Canis lupus familiaris: one gene and its partners. The protein of the gene in region 2 purifies or fractionates together with the protein of the main gene of each other region. This does not show direct contact. Links are inferred from orthologs where the notes say so. Each region holds a gene or a part of one and is shown on either strand. Other genes may lie near its edges.

The links.
Region 1: the proteins of TBC1D15 (region 2) and UBAC2 purify together in Homo sapiens (affinity purification with mass spectrometry; 3 studies listed by BioGRID and IntAct, counting the BioPlex papers as one, with this or other methods). This does not show direct contact. The link is inferred for Canis lupus familiaris from reciprocal best matches to the Homo sapiens genes TBC1D15 and UBAC2.
Region 3: the proteins of TBC1D15 (region 2) and UBXN8 purify together in Homo sapiens (affinity purification with mass spectrometry; 3 studies listed by BioGRID and IntAct, counting the BioPlex papers as one, with this or other methods). This does not show direct contact. The link is inferred for Canis lupus familiaris from reciprocal best matches to the Homo sapiens genes TBC1D15 and UBXN8.

Annotation. Positions count from the first base shown.
Region 1 is NC_049243.1:49,540,952-49,547,311, forward strand, and holds part of UBAC2 (ubiquitin-associated domain-containing protein 2), read left to right. Parts: intron 1-3,081; coding exon 3,082-3,324; intron 3,325-6,360. UniProt on the Homo sapiens protein: Restricts trafficking of FAF2 from the endoplasmic reticulum to lipid droplets.
Region 2 is NC_049231.1:13,792,246-13,798,293, forward strand, and holds the end of TBC1D15 (TBC1 domain family member 15), read left to right. Parts: intron 1-1,094; coding exon 1,095-1,211; intron 1,212-1,739; coding exon 1,740-1,826; intron 1,827-2,950; coding exon 2,951-3,172; 3' UTR 3,173-4,294; downstream 4,295-6,048. UniProt on the Homo sapiens protein: Acts as a GTPase activating protein for RAB7A. Does not act on RAB4, RAB5 or RAB6.
Region 3 is NC_049237.1:34,405,579-34,411,938, reverse strand, and holds the end of UBXN8 (UBX domain-containing protein 8), read left to right. Parts: intron 1-1,022; coding exon 1,023-1,097; intron 1,098-4,372; coding exon 4,373-4,540; 3' UTR 4,541-4,996; downstream 4,997-6,360. UniProt on the Homo sapiens protein: Involved in endoplasmic reticulum-associated degradation (ERAD) for misfolded lumenal proteins, possibly by tethering VCP to the endoplasmic reticulum membrane. May play a role in reproduction.

The sequences.
Region 1 (6,360 bases), on a different chromosome or scaffold from region 2:
TATCATATCTTGAAATCTGATGAGCCTTATTACGTTTCTTTAAAATTACTTTGGCCATTCTGGATCCTTTGATTTATTTAAAAATCTTTTTATAATGATACACACACACACACACACACACACACACACCCCAAATATTTCATAAACTATAAATGTCGTGAAACCAAACAAGTCACTATAAAGTGAACACACCCATAAAAACCCATACAGGCCAGAGTACTGCCAGCCTCCAAAGCCTCTTGGCACCTCTTGCTCCTGTGACAGCTCTCCCAGGACAGATGGTCATCACCCTCATGCTTTGCTCCTTCGTTTTTGCCCTTGGTATGGATGGATGTGTGGATGGATAGACAGTTGGATAGATAGATCAGATTGATCCATTCACAAAAGTGGAATCATATAATGTATGCATTTTTTGTCTGGCTTCTTCCTTCTCACATTATGTTTTTTAAACTTAAGCTTTAAATATTCCAAATGCATTTTATTTATTTTTTTAAAGATTTTATTTATTTATTCATGAGAGACACACACACACACAGAGAGAGAGAGAGGCAGAGACACAGGCAGAGGGAGAAGCAGGCTGCATGCAGGGAGCCCCATGTGGAACTCGATCCTAGGTCTCCCAGATCACGCCCTGGGCTGAAGGTGTCGCTAAACCGCTGCACCACCAGGGCTGCCCTCCAAATGCATTTTAGTGTTTGTTTGTTTGTTTGTTTGTTGTAACAGTTTGCTGTTCTGTAGATAATTGTTTTTCCTTTCTAGGCAGTCTGTTTTATCTCTGGTAACTTTTAAGGACTTTTTCTTTGTTTCACTACAATGCATCTAGATATAAATTTCATTTTGTTATCCTTTCTGGGACTCTTGCATTTTCAATCTGAGATTTACATTCTTTATTATAAATTCTGGAGAACTCTTAACTATTATCTCTTGAAATACTGTCCTGTTCTCCCCACCTCCCCCCATAGTCTTTTTCTGGAATCTCTATGAGACCTTCACTGAGGGCCTCTCTTCTCTGTCTGGAATCTTATGGGCAGAGCCCTGGGCCTCCCCACTGGGCAGGCTCTGCCCACTTCAAAGCCTCTTTGATTCACACCCTACAGAGCTTTTACCTTCTCCCTGAGAAGGAGAGAGGGTGGATATGGGCTACATTGGGTAGGGGCAGGATTCAGGGTTCCTTCCTGCAGAGTTAAGGAGGACTCTGCTTCCCTCCTGCCTTCACAGTCCTTGGTGCCTCTAATCCATGAGGCTCTCTAAGCTCCAGGAGACCTTGCCAGCATTTAGATTTACCTTTCTTCCCATTAGAAATCACTTCCATTACTCAGCGTGTTTTCCATTTTGTTAGTGTGGTTCAGGATTGTAGATGCCTTCTAGTTTCATTGAGTGTGGAATTTGTTTCCATTTTCTTTGTTGTTCTGTATTGTTTTTGAGAGAAGTGGCATACAAATGATTTGAAACCAAAAGTCCTCTATATCGTCTCTTCTAGCTGTCCCAGTCTGTCTTTTGCTCCTACCACTGCACCAGAACTGTTCTTACAAGGTCATCAGGGCTTCCATTTCACCAAATCCAGTGCTCATTTTCCTCCCTGGCCTGGTTGAACCTGGAGCTGCATGGTTCATAGCTGGCTTTTCCCAGCCTAAAACTGTTCTCTTCACTTCGGTGATACCAAGCCCTCCTAGTTTTTCTCCTCTCCCTTGGCAGCACTTCCAGGTGATATCACTGGCCTCTCCCACTCTGTCCATGCACAGAGAATTGCTGCGTTGAATCTACATCCTCTTCTCCCTTTTGCTGTTTGTCCCATGCCCTTGCCTAATCCCAGGGCTTTAACCACCGTCAGTGCCTGTGAGCCCCGAATCCTTACCTCTGCTATGTTTTCCCTTGAGTTCCAGATGTGTAGACCTGACTGCCCACTTGATATCCCACTGAGATCTCGAATAGATGCTGCCAGGCCCATTGCTGCATCGCATGTGCTGTTTGCACTGGCTGAAAGGTTCTTCCTCTGAGTCTTCAAATCCCTGGCACCCACCCCATTATCCTGAGGAGCTTTGTTCAAATGTCACTTCCTCCAAAGCTTCCCTGACACCTGACCTACAGACGGTCCCTGCTCCAGGCCACTTGTTTTCTTCACAGAACTTGCTTGATGTTTGCTCATTTATTCCCTAATTTTCCATACTGACCACTATTACCTCTGTGAGTAGGGCCTTGTTGATCTTGTCTTCCACTGACCTCTAAATGCCTGCAACAGTGTCCGGGGTATAGTAGATGCTCAGCAAATTCTTGCCTAATTAATTTAAATTGTATTAAGAAAACATTAAAGTGTACTTTTCTCCTATTAGCACATTGTCAAATACATTCTAACTTGGTGAGAATAATTCAACTTCTTATCCTCAAAATCAAATTCACAAAATTCAAGTTGTTAGTTTTTTTTTTTTTACAAAGGAATAGCCATACTTATTTTAACCTAGAAAACCATAGTCTTTAGATGTCTATTACTGTACAAATTACCTTAAAGATGAAAAATAGGCTTATTTGTAAAGAGAATTGTGAATTAGTATTGGCAGGGATTTTATTTTTTTTAAGGATTTTGAAACTAGAAAAATCAGTACTTGAAAAATGTATTAGAACAAAATGTAGATTGTCTAATTTTGTGATAAATTTATTATATGCTGGATCGCATCATTGGCCATTAAAGTTGTTTTCTGCCAGTACCTGTCTCTGATGGCCATCTGCCAATAAAAGTAACCACAGAGTTAGTACACTGTGAAAGTGTTTTTGATAATCAGATCTCGTATGGCTTTAAGAAAATATTGTTTTTTTTAAATATTTTACCAGTTCGTTGAGTGTTAAGTGGTTAGAATTTTGCTGTCTTTTCTAGCTTAATAAAAACAAATTTGTTCACTGACTAAATTTTTGTTGATTTGTACTGCTTCCTATTCTGCAGCTTAGAAGGAGTTTTGATTGTCACCCAGTGCTACTAAAATGAAGAAAAATCACATCTGAAGTATTTTATGGTTATTGATTTCTGTGTTACTATGTTCTTTAATATCATTACATTGAAACAATCCAGTTGGACTTTTCTCCTTTCAGATATCAGGCATCTGCTACAACAGCAAAGTGTTCCAACTCCAGCAGGTGCTCTGCATTCCCAGATGGATGGCAAAGTTCTTTTCTTGGACACTTGAGCCTATCTTCTCATCTCCAGAACCCACCACTGAAGCCAGAATCGGGATGGGAGCCACAGTAGACATCCAGAGACAGCAAAGGATGGAGCTGCTTGACCGGCAGCTGATGCTTTCTCAGTTTGCACAAGTGAGAAGGCAGAGACAGCAGGTAAGCAACAGGCAGAGACAGCAGGTAGCAACAGAATAGTAATTCAAAATGCAGAAATACTCAGTGGTCTCAGTACACTTCGCCTCTGTGACTGTTGGTGTGATTGAGAGTACATTTTACCCCTATGCATTACAAGGTGGATCATTTGACATTTCAAGGTAGGATGGAGGTCTCTGATAGTGGCTTTCTTAGCTGTGTGTGTGTGTGTGTGTGTGTGTGTGTGTGTGTGTTTAAGTTAAAAAAAAACAACAAAAACTGCAGCCGAAAGACTGGTCAAACTGGACATTCTTGTTCCACTTCTATTAAATAAACATGATTTCTTAGAGAAACACCAACCTAGTTAACAAGATATGATATTTATCTGCTCTTATAATCTTGTAAAAGCCACAGTGTCTTCCTGTTAAAATGCTTATTATCATGTGCTCTGGAGTGAAGAGCAGATGTAAAACTTCTCGATGGAGAGAATATGAAGGTAAGAAAGTTTCAGGGGAATAACCAATGAATCAAATCTGTTTTCTTAGCCTTGTCATTGATATCAGGAAATCTTGAGCATTTATCTACAAAAACTGCTGTATTCAAACACTCTAATAGCACACTTGTCTGTCAGGGGTTACTATATGTCAGCCAAAACCTCACACGTGATCTTGCTTTGGCACCCTGTGATACAGCATACTGGGCTCTTCATTTCTCATGTCCATCTTCTTTACCCTCTGGGGTGTGAGAGAGGATACCGTACTCTCTTGCCATCTCCCTATCTCTTGCCCTTATTGAGTGTGAGAAGTAGGTCTGCAGGCCTCACAGTGGTCTGGAAAAGTGGCATCAAGTGTGGCATCCCAGATGTCCCATTGGAGGTATGGGTCCCAGCATTTAGATCTGGATTGGAAGAAGGGGTCCCTTATGAATGGGTTGACTCTACAGGTGAAAAACAGAAGCAGGGATCCCTGGGTGGCGCAGCGGTTTGGCGCCTGCCTTTGGCCCAGGTCGCGATCCTGGAGACCCGGGATTGAATCCCACATCGGGCTCCCTGCATGGAGCCTGCTTCTCCCTCTGCCTGTGTCTCTGCCTCTCTCTCTCTCTCTCTCTGTGACTATCATGAATAAATAAATAAAATCTTAAAAAAAAAAAAAAAAGAAAAACAGAAGCAGAGGGTGTTCCCTACAGATGTATTTGAACTTGAGATGACTCTAGAATGTACAACAAAGATACCTGTGATACAGTTAAATGTGGAGGACAGACCACCCTCTCAGAAAGGTCAGAGCTGGGGGTAGAGATCATGGAGTCAACTTTGTAGGGTTGACTAGGTGCTAGGTGAGTTCTTTAAGAGAATTACATCCAAGATGAACAGAAGCTATAGATGAAGCCTCATATGTAGCAAGAGGAGGAGCTGAATTCTTCAAGGAAATAGAAGGAAGAATGAAAAGTATGAGAACTCAGAATGACCAGCATCCAAAAAATGAAGTAAGGATGAGTAAAAATATTTTTCAGGTAGAAAGGGCAAAGCTGTGAGGGAGAGAAACAAATAAGGTAGGATTCTGAGGTTTCTGGCTTAATAATGGGATAGATTGATGATAGCACCGTCTCACCAATATCGAAAGAGTAGATTGGCGGGAGAAATATATTGACTGGGGTACTTTTGGAATACCTGGGAATCCCATCAGATGGCTACAGATCTCATGCTCATGAGCAAGCCAGAGAAGTTGAATCGCTCAGCTTAGCATCCCCAGACCCAGTTTTATGCATGAAGTTTCTCAGGGAATGCTGTCAGGATTGGTATCTTTTGGAGGAGTGATGGTCAAGGACACAGGGAGGCTGAACAACAGTTATGAAGAGGGTCTGAGCCAGCCTTACAGAGAGCTGTGGAGATAAGGAGAGCCCTTCCAGATTGCACCAGATTTGGCCAAGGAGCTGAAACTGGCAACCTCCACCAGCTGGTCACTGGGAGCGATTGCAGGTCTTGGACCGACCGGCTCTCCTTAGGTGCATACTATCCACAGAATGGGTGTCCCTGCCAACAATCCCCGCAGCAGGAAGACCAAGCACTTCAGTCCTGGGGAGGTAGGGGATCTGGGCAGCAGACCAAAGCATCCACCTGTTGGTGCTGCTTGCATCTCTTATTTGACATAAATTCTTGGAGCAGCTCCTCCAAGACTCTAATGACAGTCCTTCCCCAGGAGAGACCTTCAGGAGGAAGGTTAATAGGACACATTTCATCCCCTTCTGCAGAAGCTGATCTCCAGGCCATACTGGTCATTATCTCCGTCTTCTACTGTCCATTCCACCCTTGGCTGGCAGACATACTTGTTGCAGTGATACAGAGCCTCATCCCTGTGAGCTCTGAGTCCCCAATTACCACACCTCTCTCAGGCTGTGTCTGCTGCCTTTGTCCTCTTACTGTAAAAAGGGGGCCACGGGAGTACCGAGGGATGCCCTAGTGCCACACGTACTTTTTCCTCCTACTTTTTGTCCCCCTCACTGTACTTTTTCCTGAGGATTGCAATTAATTAGTCCTGCCATGACAATGATTTCTTTCCTTGCCTGTTGCCCTGTTGGCACAAGAGCCCAAAAGGGCAACAGCTATAACTTAAAATGTAATGGCCTTCTTACTTTGTCCCTGATGGAAATGTGTTACCCTCCTGGGAGGCAAGCTCTCTAAACCCACGGAATCTAGTTTCAGGGACCAGAAGCCCAGATTCCCAAGTGGGTTACTGGGTGAGAGGGTATTCAGGGCCACTTCCACTCTGACCTCTTTATTTCCAAGATCCATGTGTTCTACCTGTTAGGGACATAGCACCCAGGTAATGGTTGTTAATTTAGGGTCTGTACTGCTTGGCTGGAGCCCACAGTGCCATCCTTGTGGGGCATCCTCTCCAAACTGGCATTACACTTGTATGTTCATCTGGCTGTCTTATTGGTCTGGCGGGCTGGCAGCTCCTAGGTCGTGTGATACGTGAGAGGATCAGTGCATCCCACTTAACTTTGCTGTAAGTGATCTTGTGATCTGATGCAATGTTAGTTGGAACCCTGGTCAGTAGACCA
Region 2 (6,048 bases):
ACTTTTGGTGACCATGCTACCATTAAAAGTGATGTGCTGTTTGAAGGATCTCCTTGCTTTGTGTGTGATGGCTTCCTCTGTTTGAAATTAGAAGTAAAACTCACATATTCCTTAATTTGGAATTGTATTTAATTGAACATAATTCATTTTTGAGGGCCGTTATGAAATTTAATCTCAGAGGTTTGATAATTAAGCAAACTTCTCAACTTCCTTTTTATAGGATGGATTGAAAATATTGTTACTATGTAGCTAGAATAAACCTTGGTCTGATTACCAAATCCAACTTTTGAATGAAAATTTTGAGGTTAATTGCATTGTAATTAAAAATTGAATTTAGTCCAAAAATTATTCAGCTTGATTTACTTTTGATGAAAGAAGTAAAAACATTTCATGTATGCATTTAGTAGTATTATTTATGTGGGTCTTTTTCTCTTCCTAGATAAGATATTATTATGTACATTGATAGGAAATGAAGGCTTTAAATTTGAGGTCATTGTATTTAAGAAGTGTGGCTATTGATCAAATATTTTATCCATTTAGGTATAAATTTTGGGTAGTTGATTCAGTTTTTGTCACAATCAGGGACACACTGTGTAATGTAATATAATGTAGAGCTATCTCTGGGTGGTTTTGATTCCATGTACTCTTTAACTGAATTTTTCTTTCATATCCACAATTTGCCCTCCCCTGCCCCCCCCCGCCGAGATTAAAGGTGACTTACAAGTGAGAAACTGAACTGAAGGGTCAGAAAAATACTGAGAATGCCTCTAACCCTTATACCTTAAACTCATGGATGTAGCTTCTTAATTAATACCATTTATTATATAAATTAGGCTCAGTCATATCTTACTGTAGTTACCTAAAGGGCCACATATGGAATTAATCATACTCACATAATGTTAAACTTGATGTTAGTTACCTGTGTAGGTAAAGGTAAGACTTTACCCCCAATTTCCTCACTAGAGAAACAGTGTCTACTCCATCTAGGCCCCTTCTGCGTTTCATAGAAGTCATTCAGAGTTCAGCATTGTTTCTGTGAGGAAAATATTGTAGAATTGATATAGTGTACTAAATAGTTCTATTTTTTTTTATAGGTAATGTGGACTGAACTGCCATGCAAAAATTTCCATCTTCTTCTCTGTTGTGCTATTCTCGAATCCGAAAAGCAGCAAATAATGGAAAAGCATTATGGGTTTAATGAAATACTAAAGGTAGTTATTTCTTTAATTTAAATTTGAGTATTTTGGCTCTTTCGTCTGTTTGATGGTACTGATATACAGAACATTTTCTTGGAGCTTTATTGATTGAATCCCTTGAGTAAAACTTAAATTATATCAATAACACCTAATATTAGGACTGGCTCTCTGAGAATGACAGTTCAATGAATACATACTGGCCAGTTATTTTTACCTGGGTAATTAGGAAGAAAAGGAAATTCAGCAAATTCTCTTCTGTGTAGTTTAGTTTTCTAAAAAAAAAAAATAATTGTCTTTTGCTTATAACTTTGAGATAGTAGACTTGGGACAGCTGCTAGATTTAATGTCCCATAAGTTTATTAGCTATTCTTTAACTTTAAAACTGAAAGATAGATTGAATTTCCTGCTGATTTGTAGTATGAATACTTTTATTTTAAGGATTTTATCTGCAATGAAATATATCTGGTAATAAATTGTTTATATAGTAGAATATAATAGTGCTTTTAGTTTCAATTATCATTTTATTTTATGGATTCATTTTAGCATATCAATGAATTGTCCATGAAAATTGATGTGGAAGATGTACTATGCAAGGCAGAAGCAATTTCTCTACAGATGGTAAAATGCAAGGTATGGTGCAGTGTTTTAAATAATTGTAAGATTTTTTGTTTGTTTTTGGTGGACTGAGGTCAAGAAAGAATTTTTCTTCATAGAAGTATAATAAATGGCAATTTTAGTAAGCTGAAGCAGACAACAAGCATTAGTTAGCATTTTGTTTACCATTATTGATTTATAGCACTTAATTGAAAATAGTCGATTAATTATGCTAGATAAGAAATAGTATAGCAAAATGGCAAACATAATGAAACCGTTTCAGCAACAACTAAAGAGGCTGTATTATTCAGTCTGACTACAGACTGGAACCTCTTATTAAATGATATCCCCAAATAAAGACAGATGCTAATCAGAAATAATTAAGCAAATGGTATTTAGAGTGTCTTTACAATTGTACTAGCCAAGTTCTTAGTCTTTCTAAAAAAAATTATGACCTAAATTGTTCTCTTTGAGGTATTTTGGCTTTTGCACTTTTATGAGAGTTCTGTTTGGTCTTTGTGTCATTTGTTCATGGTTCCAAATACTTACTTTGGTTCACTTCTGCAAACATTTATTTGGTAGCTGTTCTGTTCAAAATATGCCAGTGAGACACTTCTTTAAGGAACCTTGTACATTGAGGGAGCAAATTGGAGTATAAATAAGCTCTCGTTTAATATCTAAGATTCGGGGATCCCTGGGTGGCGCAGCGGTTTGGCGCCTGCCTTTGGCCCAGGGCGCGATCCTGGAGACTCGGGATCGAATCCCACATCAGGCTCCTGGTGCATGGAGCCTGCTTCTCCCTCTGCCTGTGTCTCTGCGCCTCTCTCTCTCTCTCTCTCTCTCTCTCTCTGTGACTATCATAAATAAATAAATTAATTAATTAAAAAAAAATAATATCTAAGATTCTATAATAGCAATGAAATAAATACTAACTGTTAAAAAACTTAACATTTGTGAGTGGTAGGGTGGGGTGGAGAGTGACTAATTTGGGTAAGAAGATTAGGGAACTTATGAAAAAAAGTGGTTAGGATTTCATTTGGAGTGGATAAGGAAGGTGTGAAAAGATACATAACTATCACACTGTTAGAATAAATGTTCAGATTCTGGAATCTACATATCTTGAGTAGAAGTGTTATTTTGTGAATACTTTTCCTCTATAGGAATTGCCACAAGCAGTTTGTGAGATCCTGGGACTTCAGGACAGTGAAGTGACAACACCAGATTCAGACACTGGTGAAGATGAAAACATTGGCATGACTCGTTGTCCTACGTCTACATTTCAGAGTGACTCCTTGCCCGTACTTGCCACTAGTGGAGCCAGAGATGACAGCCCAACACAGATAGCAATGTCCCCAAATGTTAGCAGATTAACACCTGCATGATCATTCTTCTTGCTTAATTTTTGAAGAGACACTTTGTTGCAGCCTTTTGCAAGTACTTGAAAGGTGGAAATTTAAAATCTTGGTATTGATCATGCTTTAAGGTTTATGGAAAGAAAGTGTACTGATGTTCTTGCATTAAAGCTTTACAAAGATTTAAACTAATTATTTTTGTAGTTACTTCTACCAAATAGCCTTTCCTTTTCAATAACATTCCTTAGTATTTTTATAGCCAAGTACATTTTATTTTCTTGCTGATGAACTGGAATTGGATAAATATTACAAGTGGATGAGTTGGAAATTATGCACTTTGAAAAACATTCACTTTGTTTACTCTAAGTTTAGTGGGTTTTGGATTTGATTAAATTAAATGTTGGGCCTTTCTATAGCATTCTAAGCTGAGAAGTAGATTGTGTTACCCAAGTGATGAAATAAAAGAATTTGTTTTTCTCTATTGTTTACAACAATACTCAGCTTAAATATTTATGCTGGTTGAATGTGACTTAAATTGGATATTTTCATCAATGCAATTTAATGTGTAGATAAAAAGAGCTATTTCAACCATAATAAGTGGATTGGCAGTATATTTTTTACATTGAAGTTTTCTTCACTTGTATATAAAAACTATATAAGTACTTATTTATGAGTATAAAAAGGATAGGCATATTTTCTTTAACTGAATAAACTTGACTATTGATTTATATGATCTGATTTGACAAAAGTAATACATAGCTTCAGTATGAGATCTTTTTCAAAACTATTTTCTTAACCAAACATTTATTTCATGAGACTACATTCAACCCTGTACCTGGTGTAATTTTAAAATTAATTGCTTGTAACCTCATTTTACTAATAATGTGTTTATTATCTTTCCTAATAATGCATTAACTGATTAATCAGGTCTTTAAATTTTTATAAAATGCTCTTTGCAAAAAGCTTGTGTCAAAAATTTCAATATACTATCACGAGTCTCAAAATAATACTTTTTTGTATATGAATGAAGCTGTTGTTTTTACCATGCAGTGTTGCATGATTTTAAGTTATGTGAAATTAACATAACTGATTCCGTTTTATTTGTAATTTGTTAACTCTTGTACATATCATTAAAATAAACTTGAAGTTGAAGTAGTGTTTTCAGTTAAATTACACTTTAGAAGTAGTCTGCTAGTTCTGCATTGGAAGGAAAAGAATCCAAGTTGGCCCCCAGCACATTTTCTATTTTTTTGTGATTGAAACAATCATTGGAATGAGTTATGGACGTGAGGAAGAAATACGACCCCTTTTATAACCAAAAACAAATTTTCATCAGCATGGACTTGAGCATAGTGTTGTCTTGGAGGATGTAATTGTCTGACCCAGGAAAGCAACTCCTACAATTGATGTTAATAATGTAAAATAAAAGTTAGGCATTTCTGAAGTGGTCCAGGAGATAGATTTTTTTCCCTCCAGAAGACGGAACCAAATGAACTTTTTTCCTACTTGAGTATTAACTGACAATCATGACAGTAGAACCATTAGATTTTAGTTTTTAATATCATATGTGTGTTATCTTTCATCAGTTAATAATGAGTAAGCCTATTTAGACAAAAAAAGTAAACGGATCAGACACTCGGCGTCTCCAGCCTTTCATTTCCTGCTGTTCAGGAAATTGCTTAGAACATCTTGATGTCCTTCTTGTTCTTCCTGGACAGGGACTTCAGGGGAGTTTTTCTCCCCCCCTCCGCTATGTAATGTCATGTCTACTTCGGAGTTAAAAAAAATCTGAACACATTTAGTAACTTGAACTTTTGTCAAGTTTTATTATACAACTACTTGTTAAAGCATTTTTACTAAAGAGTCTTTATTTCCATCTTGCTCATTGTTGATGGAGAAATAATAATATAGCACAATGCTGGATAAAGTCTCAGTGAGAATCTACAAAATTGAGTTAGCAGATGCTATATATAAATTTGAGCTATTGAGATTGCTAAAATAGTCCAGGTAAATTGGTTGGTCTAACTTCTTAAAGATTTATTTCAGTTTTCACGAGGTGTTCTGTTCATACCCTGATAACATATAAATTATTATGTGCTCTATTATATGATATTTAATGTTAAAATTTAATTCCTAATTTAACTGTAAGAAGTATTTTCATTTCTAATATGAGAGTCTATGGGAAGGAAGCCTTTTGCATTTAAGAACGTGCCTATTTTGATTGTCCCATGTGCCTAGGATTCTTCATCTCTTTGTAAGTTAAGAACTTTAGTCTTGGTGATGACTAGAGCTTTTCTGAGTGAGGAAAAGAACATTTTGGGAGCATTATGGTGATTCTTGCTGAACCTGCCATTTCCAAGGATTTTTATGGATGCTAAATCTTAACGGGAAATTCATATAATTATGTCCATTATTAAAGGTAGTTTGTATAAAGTAATACAAAATGTTTATTGAAGAACCTAGAAATTTACCTGACTTGTGTATCACCGTGTAACCGGATGACATCCTTCTAGCTTGGATTTCTTTCCTTGGGGGCTTTCAGAAGATGTATGAACCTCTCACTGTACTTGAAGTTTTGTGTGCATATTTCTGGGGACAGGTCATAGTTTCTCAAAAGTTTCTCTAATTTTCTTCATGCATCCAAGGGTTTCTTGAGCCTCTGTGAAGTTAGATTACCACCATTATATGTTATATATCATAGGTTCACAATTTGACTTAAGGTTAGGTAGACAAGTCCCTGAGGTGGTTATTATTTTTTTTTTAATTAAAGATTTTATTTATTCATGAGAGACACACAGAGAGGCAGAGACACAGGCTCCCTGCAGGGAGTCCACGTGGGACTCGATCCCAGGACTCCGGGATCATGACCTGAGCCCAAGGCAGACCTCAACCACTGAGCCACCCAG
Region 3 (6,360 bases), on a different chromosome or scaffold from region 2:
TATTTATTTATTTATTTATTTATTTATTTATTTATTTATTTATTTATTTGTTTGTTTTTTAATTTTTATTTATTTATGTATGATAGTCACAGAGAGAGAGAGAGGGGCAAAGACACAGGCAGAGGGAGAAGCAGGCTCCATGCGCAGGGAGCCCAATGTGGGATTCGATCCCGGGTCTCCAGGATCGCGCCCTGGGCCAAAGGCAGGCGCTAAACCGCTGCGCCACCCAGGGATCCCCGGGGCTGCCCTTTAAATGTCTTTTAATATTAACTAGCCATTTGCAAGCTCTTTTTAGCTATTTAACTGTTGACTCAAGGAGAAATGATGGGGGAAACTCAGTACATAATGCAGATAGAGCAGGAGCTCTATCCCAGCTCCTAGGACCAACTCCAGGCTGGAATGATAGAGTAACTTGGGAAACTGTTTCCTTCCAGTCCAGTGTTTTTCTTGTCTCTAGACTGGGATGGCACAGGATCTTCTTGGTTTGGTAGATGAATTTTTGAAGCCCACGTGCAGCCTTGATACCATCTGGACAGACAGAAGCATGTAGTTTCTGTTGTCCTCTCTGGAGGGCTTTGTCACTGATCTCCATCAGTAGGAAGATGTTCTTCCATTTCAGAAGGCATTTTTATATTCAGAGTGAATTTTATGTGGATCTTTATGTTGGCCTACTACTCTCAGAGCTAAATGCCTACAAACCCCCCACACAAACTGTTTAGAATTATGGACGTTTCACAAGAGTAGCAATTTTGGAATTGCAAGAGCAGTGCACTGGAATTCTTTTTTTTATCATTTTTTAAAAAGATTTTATTTATTTATTCATGACAGACATGGAGAGAGAGAGAGAGAGAGAGGCAGAGACACAGGCAGAGGGAGAAGCAGGCTCCGTGTAGGGAGCCCAACACAGGACTTGATCCCAGGTCCCCAGGATCACACCCAGGGCCGAGGGCAGTGCTAAACCACTGGGCCACCAGGGCTGCCCTATGCACTGGAATTCTTATTTGAACATTTTTACTCCTTAGGTAGTTGCTGTTGCTCTCCGATGTCCAAGCGGGAATGTCCTGAGAAGAAGATTTTTGAAGTCTTGCAGTTCACAGGTGAGGAAATCCCTATTTTGAGAAATTCTTTTGTTGAATTTGACAGTAATTTACTCTCATGCAGTGGGGGAGGTATTACCACTTTCTTGTCTGGTACTCCCTTCAGGTGAGGGTAGAGGGGATTATATGTACTCTGTGTTGCAGAAATTTGATAATTCGGCATGCTGGATCTTTCTGAATTGTGATTGCAACACTTCTTTTTTTTCAGTTCTTTTCCTATTTTTTGTTTTTGTTATTAATTACTTTTTCACAGCTTGGTAGATATGATGCTTTCAAATCCAGGCACCTGTGGTGCTTAGTCAGTAGAGCGTCTGCCTTCCACTCAGGTCATGATCCCAGGGATTGAGCTCTGCATCAGACTCCCTGCTCAGTGGGAAGCCTGCTTCTCCCTCTGCTACCCTCTTGCTATCTCTGTCTCCCTCTCAAATAAATAAAATCTTTAAAAAGACAAGATGCTTTCAAATCTCTATGTAATTTTTAGATCATTCTTTAGGGGTCTTTTTTTCTCTTAAAATCAATGCTGTATTCATTAGCCATATTCTGGAAAATCTAGAAAAATAGAAAATAGAAAAAAGACTTGATCTGCTGTTTGACACCAAGGCAGATTGCTAATATTTTGGCATATTTCTACTTTTAAGCACACTTAAGTTTGCATTTTATTAGAAATATGTCTAAACACTCCAAAAAAAGAAAAAAGTATGTCTAAACAGTTTTCTGTCCTGATTGTTGGATTTAGCCATCTATGAAGAGCATGCTGAGAACTATAATGGAAAATATTGAAGGATTTGACTACATAGAAATATAAAATTCTTTTTTTTTTTTTTTAAGATTAAATCTGGGGGAAAAAAAGGATTTTATTTATCTGGAACATCTGGGTGGCTCAGCAGTTTAGAGCCTATCCTGCCTTCGGCCCAGGGCATGATCCTGGGGTCCTGGGATCGAGTCCCACATCGGGCTCCCTGCATGGAGCCTGCTTCTCCCTCTGTGTCTCTGCCTCTCTCTCTGAGTCTCTCATGAATAAATAAATAAAATTTGGGGGATCCCTGGCTGGTTCAGTGGTTTGGTGCCTGCCTTCGGCCCAGGGCGTGATCCTGGAGTCCCGGGATCGAGTCCCACATCAGGCTCCCTGCATGGAGCCTGCTTCTTCCTCTGCCTGTGTCTCTGCCTCTCTCTCTCTCTCTCTCTCTCTCTCTCTGTGTCCCTCATGAATAAATAAATAAAATCTTTTAAAAAATAAAAAATAAAGATTTTATTTATCTGAGAGAGACAGAGATAGCAACAGAGATAGCGAGAGAGAGCATGAGCCAGGGAGGAGAGAGAGAAGTAGGCTCCCCACTGAGCAGGGAGCCCAACATGGGACTGGATCCCAGGACCCCAGGATCATGATCGGAGCTGAAGGCAGATGCTCAACCAACTGAGCCACCCAAGTGCCCTGAAATGTAAAATTCTATAAAGGAAAGGTTAAGGGGCGCCTGGGTCACTCAGTTGGTTGAACATCTGCCTTTGGCTCTGGGATCAAGCCCCACATCAGGCCCCCTGCCCAGGGGAGAGTCTGCTTCCCCCTCTTCCTTTGCCCCTCCCTACCACTTGTGATTTCTCTCTCAAATAAATAAAATCTTGTTTTAAAAAAAGAGAGAAAGTTCATAAAACTAAAACTTCAGAAAAAAATATTTTACATCTATATATGATAGTCATTTCTTTATGATGAGGTATTGTACAAATCAAGGAAATTAGTAGAATGGCAGCTAAAAAAAAAATGAAGGATTTCCTAAAGAAAAAAACAAGTGACATAAAAAATTTTGGCCTTACTTAGAATCAAAGATGTGCAAACTGAAATGGGACACAATTTTCTACCTATTAGATTGTTGTAGATTAAAAAGATGAGTACGCAGTTTTGGCCTGTGTGTGGAGAAAACAGTGATTCTCCTTAATTGTTCATGTGAATATAAATTGGGCCTCTGTTCCTAAGGATAATTAATCTTTATATCTTTTGGTTCATTAATTTTTTTTAAAGATTTTATTTATTTGAGAGAGAGAGCCAGAGAAGACAAGCAGGGTGGGGAAGGGCAGAGGGAAGAGAAGCAGGTACCCCGCTGAGCAAAGAGCCTGATGTAGGGCTCTATCCCAAGACTGTGGGATCCTGACCTGAGCTGAAGGCAGGCACTTAACTGAATGAGCCACTCAGGTGCTCCCATTAATTTCATTATGAGAATCTATTCTATGGAAATAAGTGAAATGATCAAAGGTGTGTGTTTATATAGGGATTGGTTGAATTAAGGCATATCCAAATATTGGAAAATTACGAAGCTTTATGACCTAGATGTATATTTTTTTATTTTTTTAGATGTATGTTTATTACATGGAATATCAGTAGATTCTTGGATGGTGGTTACCCGGAGAAGTCAGAGATTATCTATAATTGAGTATCTGTAATTGATACTCTAGCTTCCCCCAAGAACATTCTAGGATCCAGCTTTCTTCCGAAAGCAGCAAACAGCCGTTTGGCAGACACTTTTAGACAGTAGTACCTGGAAGTTTTGACAGTTACTGTGGAAATCTTCATAACAGGAAATGTCTTCAATTTATAGGAATAGCCCATTGAAAATGGGGATCATAAGGCAGAGTCACTGGGGCCTGGACAGGTCTCTGGTGACAAAGTTCCTGAGTCATTTTGATGTGGACTATTGGCTTAGATTTTGTTCTAAATAACTTTTTCCAAGCTTACTTTTTGTTCTCAACTTTTAAATTGAATAACCTTTTTATTCTCTATGGTTGGGTCTTTCCTAAGTGTTAAATGTCCCTGCTGTCAATCAGTGCCTTTAGTCCCTAGGCCTTCTCTGAAACTTTGGAAAGGTATTTAAGGTATTTGCATCAGGGGTGCCTGGGTGGCTCAGTCAGTTAAGCATCTGCCTTCCACTAGGTCATGATCTCAGGGTCCTGGGATTAAACCTGAAATCGGGTTCCCTGCTCAGTGGAGAGTCTGTTTTTCCCTCTCCCTCTGCCCCTCCCTGCTGCTCATGCTTTCTCTCACACTCTCACTTTCTCTCTCAAATACATAAAATCTTTAGAAAGACAAAACAAAAAAGGTATTTGCATTTCACGATTCTTGGCATGCTACTTTCCTTTATACTCTAGAAGGTTCTGTTTCATTACTCTAGGGGTAATCATGCTGTTACCCCTAGGATTTAACAGTGAATGAATTATAAAATATCATTGGTGACCTCGAGGGACACAACTGTACTCCGTATTTGATAGCTAAACTTTTTATCTTCTAGGTCTTATTTGACTGGATGAAGAAAATCGGGTACCACACATCCCAATACAGCCTTTCTACTTCCTTTCCCAGACGGCCTCTGGAAGTGGGGGGAGGCTGGTCACTGCAGGACATAGGAATAACCGTGGATACTGTACTCAACGTGGAAGAGAGAGAGCAGAGCAGCTAATTCAGAAATGAGAACTACCTGTTCTACATAAAATCAGTTATGCCATGACCTTACAGGACAATAAAGGATTCACATTGAAATTACGCCATTGGCTTGATTCAGCTCAAGTAGATAAACACTGTAATGTTGATATCCTTGGGAACATAGGGACAGAGGATTAGAAAAGGATTACTCTATATACATAATAGTTTTTGGAATGTGCCATTTTACAGTGTACCAAATGAAAACTAGATAAAGATGTATTTGGTAAGCACTCAAAGATTTGTATTTTTCCTAGCCGACATCATCTATCGCTGTGTTGAAAAACAAAGTCATATGACTCGGTTTGCTGCCTCTTTGGTCCACCTGTCACACTGAACATTTCATAATTCAGTCAAATTCTCTAATGCCTGTTAAGTAGGAATGTTTGTTCTGCTGTATTTCTAGAAATTAAACCTTAAAGACATTTCAAAGGTCTTTAATGCTCTAAAGTTCTTTTCGATAATCTGATAAAGGGTTAGTATCCAAAATATGTAAAGAACTTACACAACTCAATACCCCAAACCCCCCAAATAATCCAATTAAAAATGGGCAGAAGACATGAACAGACATTTCTCCAAAGAAGACATCCTGATGGCCAATAAACACATGCAAAGCTGCTCACCATCACTCATCATCAGGGAAATACAAATCAAAACTACAATGAGATATCACCTCATACCTGTCAGAATGTCTAGAACCAAAAACACAACAACAGGTGTTGGCAAGAATGTGGAGAGGAGCCCTCTTGCACTCTTGGTGTGAATGCAAACTGGTGCAGCCACTGTGGAAAACAGTATGGAAGGAGGTTTCTCAAAACATTAAAAATAGAACTACCCTGTGATCTAGTAATTGCACTATTAGGTATTTACCCAAAGAATACAAGAATACAAAAAAAAAAAAAAAAAAAAGAATACAAGAATACTAATTCAAAGGGATACGTGCACCCTTATGTTTATAGCAGCATTATTTACGACAGCCAAGATCTGGAAGCAGCCAAGTGTCCTGTCAGTTGATGAATGGATAAAGAGGTGGGTACACACACTGGAATATGACTCAGCCATAAAAAAGAACAAAATCTTATCATTTGCAATGACATGGATAGAGCTACAGAGTATAATGCTAAGCAAAATAAGAGAAAGATAAATACATGATTTCACTCGTGGAATTTAAGAGGTAAAACAAGCAAAGGGAAAAAAACAGACTCAACTATAGAGAATAAACTGATGATTGTCAGAGGGGAGGTCGGGGGGATGGATGAAATAGGTGATGGGGATTAATGAGGGCACTTACCCTTGTGAGTGCTGGGTGACAAAAAAAATGAAAAAAAGTTTTAAAAAAGTTTTTTGATAAGTATGTTTTACTGAATTAATTTTACTGAATTGTTTACTGAATTAATGTCAAAATTTATTTAACTTCACCTTGCATTAAATTGGAACATTCACAAGTTCCAGGATCAGTATTTTAAAAATAAAACAATGAAAACATTATAGGTAAATTAAATATATGTGTATATATGTATATATATATTTAAATCTGGTTATTTCATTTTCCTGCAGTGGTATATTCATATGCTATAATACCAAGTTCAGCTCACAAGTGTGGTCTAAAAAGCTCTTTGTTCTGGTCACTCCCTTTTTCTTTTCTTATGTTCTATGTTAAGAGTCAGTTAAGTTGGGCATCCCCAGCGGCTCAGCGGTTTAGCGCCACCTTCAGCCCAAGGTGCAATCCTGGAGACCCAGGATTGAGTCCCACGTCAGGCTCCCTGCATGGAGCCTGCTTCTCCTTCTGCCTGTATCTCT